2 linked regions of the Caenorhabditis elegans genome follow. The protein of the gene in region 1 purifies or fractionates together with the protein of each later gene. This does not show direct contact. Each region holds a gene or a part of one and is shown in the gene's direction. Other genes may lie near its edges.

Region 1 (3,230 bases):
CGATGCGAAACTCTCGAATATGTCGACAGATGATTGGTCGATCTTTATCTTCTTACGTGGAATGGATGCGCCGGAGGACGCCCTAGCAAAGCGTTATTTGATGCAATATTGCGAACAGTTTGAGCGAAAAGATGAAAAACTCAAGTTATCCGACGTCCATGACGAATGGATCCGTTACATCCAAACGCAGCAGCAATCCAAAGTCATCACAGCAACTCCCGCCAAACATCCGAAATTCGAAGTAAACCAAGTTGATGCAGATGACAAGAAGAAGGATTCGAGAAAAGGAAACTACAGATCTCCGTATTGTTACAAGTGTAAAGTAGTCGGGCACGTTTCAAAAGACTGTCCTCAGAGTTCCACCAATTCAGGTGTGACCAATCGTAAGACTGAGCATTCTGAAGTGAATACGCTCGAGGTTGGGTCTGGAAGACAGACATCGCCTAGTCTTCGGTTGAACGTGGAAGGACAACAGATCGATTTCACATTTGATACAGGCAGTGACATCACCCTTATCAGTGTCCAGAACCGGCAGAAGATCGGGAAACCGCATCTCGAAAAGGTCCACCACAAAATTTGCTGTGCCAATGGTACTGAAATCGCTGTCAAAGGTAGAGTGCTCGTATGGTTCAAAGTCAAAGGTGTCGAATACACTGAGTATGTATACGTCTGGAACAGAAACAATAATCTGTTAGGCACCAGTTGGATGCGCCACTCGCCTCAAATGCGTGATGCTTTGGCCGTAATGGTTAATCATATATCCACTGTGGATACTTCGAAGCAAAATCTGCACTCGTTCTCAAGGATTCCTACTGGATACAAAGATCGTGCTGAAAATGTTGGGAGACATGTTGTTGCATCTGCGCCGCGTAGTAGTAAGCGCCAGTATGTAAGATTTGCGCGCAATAAAGCATTTCAGATTGGGCAATTGTGCCTTGCTCGGGTTCAAGGAGAGCACAATTTTGGCTGGATTTATGGAGTTGTTCAAAGACAAGTGAACGGAGTACTCTATAAAGTACAGTTGGGATCGAGAATTCAGAGGATTCACACGAACCAACTCCGTCACATTTGCGGTCGCCGGAGCCGTGGGAATGACTATGCTTCATCCTTCATTGAAAATCCGTGCAAATTGTCGCTTTTGGAAAACATTCCGCGCTCTAGTTGCCGCCAAAAATTTGTCGCTCAAGGTGTCCGTGGTGAGGGGAGGGAAGCTATTCCAGTTTTAGTTTCAGATTCTTCTGTTTTTGGTTTTAGTGCTCCAGATTTGTCAGCTTGTGAGTCTGTTGGTTCTCGATCTGCTCGTGAAGTCGTCTCGTCGGTTGCCGGCAATGCTCGGAATGCTACTGGTGCAAATATAACTACGATTCATGTCACGGAGAGCAAGAGTTCGTTGAAGAAAAGCCACAGAAGACGTCACCGTGTGGCTAAGAGTCGCCAATCATATACTGCTGGAAGTTCGCCAATCAAAGAAACCCATCTGGACCCCCTGCTGGAATCCGATGTTGCGAGTGACGGCGAGCGTTTCCAACCCGGCATCCTCCTGTGTCATTCTCTTCGACAGAGCCACCCACGACAAGTTGTGCGAGGATCAGCCCCAAACACTGATCATGCCTCCACTCGCCGCAGAGGTCGAGATACCGCCTCTGGTCGTGATGCCCCTAGCCCAGGCATAATTTCTGGCTTTTTGTCATACAAGAGGGGAGATGTTGTGGACGGAACGTAAACCTGAACTTTATACAGACGTGACCTTTGGGTCATCATGAACTTATCGCGTAAGCGACCTCTCTTTATAATTCATTACTTCTTACATTCTCTTGTAATAAACTTCTTCTCTCCTTGTCACTCGCTCAATACACAACAAGAAGCAATCGGATTGTATCAGTATCTAGGTAGATAGTAAGTATTAGCTAGGCCTAGGTCGCAGTTGCTTTAAAAACATTGGGGCAATTCTATTTTTAAATGAAGCTATAGTCACTGGCGTTAGCTCATCATGAACCATTTGTTTTAAATATTAAAAAAATTATTTAAGTTCCCAAAACACTGACTCATATGTATTGCCACAAATGACAAAGTTTCCAAAACATCCCACAGAAAACAGCTGGTCAAACACAGGTGCACAAAAAACCGAATACAAAATACTGTTTTGTACTTGTTAAGCACACATTATAACACATAAGTGTAAAACTATAAAACCAGAGTTATACGATAAAAATACAAACAGTGAAAATGTTTTCTAGAATTATACCCCTTTTATTCCTGACTATTGTCACTGTTGGAATATTTGCTGCCCCTTTTAGACAAGAATTTGATATTCTGGTTGGAGGCAATGGAGATTCGAATATGAAAGAATCAGAGACATTTTATATTGAATACGATTCCGACTCTGGTTGTGATTGTGTGAAAGACACTGACTCTCCGCTAGCAGGACTGGAAGGGCTTGAACTGGAAGGGGACACGGTGAGCTCCTAGATATAGTAAGCTTGCGTTATCAAAATTATATTTCAGTTGGAGCTCGAAGAATTAATAATTAACATCTAATCGTCATAAAAGTGTGCATCTTATAAACTTGTATGGAATAAACTTTGCAATATAACTTAACTTTTCAATATTGAAGAATATGGATAGAGTTCGTGCTCGTCACCTGTCATTTTTCATTTTTCGAGTTTTGCAGAATAGAGTGCATTTATTTAAGCACAAGTAAATAACTAGTGAAAAATGGTTTTGATCTTACCCATCATACGTCAAAGAGAAAATCATATTCCCTGACCAGAAATCTGTAGACGTTCTTGAAGCGTTGTGGATATCAATTAATTTTTACATTTTTTACATTATTTTTAAAAAAATCCTCATTAAAATACATAATTTTATTCACAACATCAATATATTTACAAAAAAAATTTAATCAGAAAAGGTCAGAAAAAAGAACCAATGAGAATTAAACAGTTGCCGTGGTTTCCTCGAATTCTGGTTCCAATGTGAAATGCTGAAAAAAAAAGAAAAAATTAAATCAGGTCGAATGGTTTTCGGTAAGCAAACTCTACCTTTCCCCTTTTACCATGCCCTTTTCTAATTAGCACCGGGTCATCTGATGAGTCAATCTCTGGTGGGGAATAGTGATCCTGAATAATTATATCTTACAGGTTTTGAAACTTATTCATCAAATCTTACGTTTTCATGGCTGTCAGAGTGTTCAGGCTCATCGGAATCTTCGTGTGAATTTTCTTCCGATT
Region 2 (3,610 bases), on another chromosome or scaffold:
TCATGTCACAAATGTCATACGGTAAATTTTCGCTTAAAATTTAACAGGCTCTAATTGGTTGGACACGCCCACTATTTTGAAATCGACCAATAGCGAAGCGATAAATTCCATGTTTTTTTCCGCGCACAATGGACGCCTCGGACCGCGGAAAATTCCCGTTTTCCGCAGACTATGGGCGCACCATGATAATTACAACTTTTTTTTTGTCAAACAACTCCGTCGAAAATAAAGATTCTAAAAGATTTGTGTGGAGCTTTTTCATTTCATTTCTTGGTTACCTTCGTATCCGAAGTCATTCTTCTTCGGAACCACAGCCAGCAGTCTACTCAGTAAACCCGTTCAGAATATACCCAGATTTAAACCAAATTAAAACCGTACAAGCCTATATTATGAAAAATTCTAATTTTGGGCAGATGTAAACCAAGATTGTCTAGATCCAAACTTAATTTGCATAGATTGCAAGTTTGAGTAGATGTAAACTGAATTTGTGTAGGTTTGTGTAGATCCAAATCGATTTTGTGTAGATCCAAACCAAATTTGTGCAGATAAATTCACAATATAGGCTTGTACGGTTTTAATTTGGTTTAAATCTGGGTATATTCTGAACGGGTTTACTGAGTAGGCCCCCATTGTTGTTGAAAACCTGAATAAAATCAATTATTATCAATAAAAATTGTTAATTTTTACTTTTCAGATGTAAATGTCGGCCTTCTCCTGAAAAATCTGAGAAAGAGATGAAAAAGAGAAAAATAAATGCTTGCTTGGGAGTTTCCTCATTAAAATGAAACCAATTTTGCACGTTTTTTAAATTAAAAATATTTATTTACTGATCAAATAATTATATTAATAAAAAAAAAATAGAAAAAAAGAATAAAATAAAGAATAGAAATAACAAAAATAATACGGAAAAGGGAAGGAAAAATGAAAATTGCTGTCAAAATTCGATAAGAAAATATTTTAGGCAATCAAGCCCGTAAATCAACACCAGCGCTACGGTAGCATTTAAATTATTACTGTAGTTTTTACTAAGAGGTATCGCGCGTCAAACTAAATGCTCCTTACGCAATCTCACGATTTAGTGAGAAACTATGAAAACATGAGAATGCCTACATTTGTGGCGCGAAATATCTCCTAGCGATGTCTACCGTAGTATTGAATAAAAATACAAACAATTTGGAATTTAATCTCAGGTGCGCGCGCGAAAATTTATATTTCTCATTTGCATGAGGCGTGATAGCGAGATGACAGAAACGGGAGACAAAAAAACAGGATTTTTGTATTCAAATCTTCACGTTGAATTTCTGAATTTCAAAATAATTCATTGCGTTACTACGGTAGAAATAAATGTGTGCATCTAGTAAATCGCACGATATGCACTAAACAATTTCTACCGTAGTCAAAATATCGTTAGGTGAAATTTCCTGTTTTTCGTTGATGAAGTCATGTATTTCCTGATTCTTTTTTCATTTTTTGAGTTTATGTTTTTTTTTCACAAAAAATTCCTTACAGAATTCAAAACAAGATGTCGTCAAGATCATCACGTCGCACAATATTCGAAAATCTTTCATACCTGGCAGCTCAGTTGGGATGCCCGCTAATAATTCAGGATTTTGATTTGAGTAGGAGATCTCCGGAGAAAAATGAAAAAAATATATATAAACATTCCATTTTGCAGAAATCAAACGTGATGTGGAGCCTCCCGCGACCGCTGCCGTGAAACGATTAATATCGTTTGCCACAATTCCGGCGTGTTGTCTGCATTCAAAAGGAACCGGCCCAGATGCGCAGTTAGCAAACCCTTTGAAAATTACGATAAAAATTAAGTTTAATTTCAGATCCGCGGAGAAGTCAGCGTCCCATGCAATTCTCGACAAGTTCTCCGTTATTGTTTCATCTGATTTTCGCAGCCACCTAATAAATTGTGCAAATGATAACGAAGTAAAGGATTTGATTCCTCAAGTTGCACCATTTTTTGAGCAGCTCAAGGTTGCCATCGCCGCAGATTTCATGTCGATCAGCGAAGTTAGAATTTTCCTCCGAAAATTGTTAAATTTCTCATTTTCAGCTTCACACGTTCGATTTGACTGCCAAAGCGAAAGCTCGTGGAAAAGAGCTGATGACCCGTGTTCTTCAAAATGTGAAGGAGTCGACTATTGGCTATGAAAGAAATATTCTAAAGAAGGCTTCTGAAACAGAGAGCGTATCTTCTCAAAAATCTACACGAAATATCTCGAACAGTGTAATTTTTGAATTTGAAGCTTTAGAGATGCGTCAAGATTTGGAAAAGTCGATGAAAAAATGTTTTCATGATTGGAAAGGAGTTGAAAGAGTCACATATTCGAAAACCGACGAAGTTCTTCGTGCTCAGCTCTTCACTTCCCACAATTTTAGTGAAAAAAATCTTGCGGAGACCATTTTGAAATTGGGTTTCAAAACTATAACCGAATCAGTGATCGTTGACAAAAATGAATTAAAATTTGAGACGCTCGCATCGGAGATTGCGGAAGTCGGTCAATACGTCTCAACGGTACAAGATATGTCTGGTAGGTGTGAAAACCGTAATAGCCTGATGAGAAAAGTTTTCAGTATTGGATGTAATTACCGTGAACAGATTGCTTGAAGTCCGCCCGGACACATTGGATGTGAGCGGATTCTGTTTTAATCTTGAAATCTTCCGATCGATCAATCTGGAAGGTATTAAGGTATGTCTTGGTTGATCAAATTTTGAAATTTGTTTTCTTTTCCAGAAATTCACTGCCCGGGACCATTGCTTGAACAGTCTCCGCAATTTTCCTTACCTGCCGAATTGCACAGTTCTCGGCCTTTCAAACAACAATATCAAGGAATGTACGAGAATTTTGGTTAAACAAGTTGTAAATGTGGAACATCTCGACCTGCGGAACAACTTTCTTACAATGAACTGCACATTTCCTTTGCTGTCGCTGAAATCGCTCACGCATCTGAAGCTGTCGGATAATTTTCGAGTTGCTTTTCGAGTTGCCTTTTCGAGTTGCATTTTCGAGTTGCCCGATCTTTTGCAACTTATTTTTTCAAAAGAATCCCGACGTTGAAGAGAATTGATGATAAACCGGAAAAGATGGCACCACTAGCTCTGGAAGAACATTTTGAAGATGAGGATAATAAACCTTCCAGCAGCACTTCCAGCAGCTTCTGGCGTCACATCAGTTATCAGGAGAGAAGCTTGAAACAAATGCAACCGAAGAAGACATGAAAATTTCCTTTTTTTTTACTGTTACAATACCTATTTCGTAAATTATATATATATATATATATATATCTCGTTATCTCTCCTTATATTATTTAATCCCAACATTGTATTCAGTTTCATTGGCTTAGCAAGTTTTCGATTGAAAATTTTTTTTTTCAGCCAAATACCGATTTTTCATATTTTTTTCGCATTTTTGATTGATGTTTCTGTGATTATTGGTTTTCCTATGTTGTTTTAAAAGGGTTTGTAATGTATCTTCGCTGAAATGTTTGTTTCATATTCAAAAACGGCAATGTTTCCACTTTCCCACTCGGTATCTTTTAGTTTTCAGGCTGCAGCTTCAAAAAATTGAAAATGGCGAAAATTTTAGGGTGGAATTTG

Evidence for each region. The genes of interacting proteins can lie anywhere in the genome.
Region 2: the proteins of F14F9.6 (region 1) and K05C4.4 fractionate together in Caenorhabditis elegans (co-fractionation; one large-scale study listed by BioGRID). This does not show direct contact.

Annotation. Positions count from the first base shown.
Region 1 is NC_003283.11:5,145,487-5,148,716, reverse strand, and holds F14F9.6 (uncharacterized protein), read left to right. Parts: upstream 1-2,222; 5' UTR 2,223-2,226; coding exon 2,227-2,457; intron 2,458-2,505; coding exon 2,506-2,538; 3' UTR 2,539-2,592; downstream 2,593-3,230. Other genes in the region: F14F9.2 (Secreted phosphoprotein 1), read right to left, coding at 2,936-2,983, 3,042-3,119, 3,169-3,230.
Region 2 is NC_003279.8:14,733,714-14,737,323, forward strand, and holds K05C4.4 (Leucine Rich repeat-containing domain protein), read left to right. Parts: upstream 1-1,509; 5' UTR 1,510-1,522; coding exon 1,523-1,619; intron 1,620-1,675; coding exon 1,676-1,787; intron 1,788-1,835; coding exon 1,836-2,022; intron 2,023-2,065; coding exon 2,066-2,543; intron 2,544-2,586; coding exon 2,587-2,702; intron 2,703-2,747; coding exon 2,748-3,071; 3' UTR 3,072-3,483; downstream 3,484-3,610.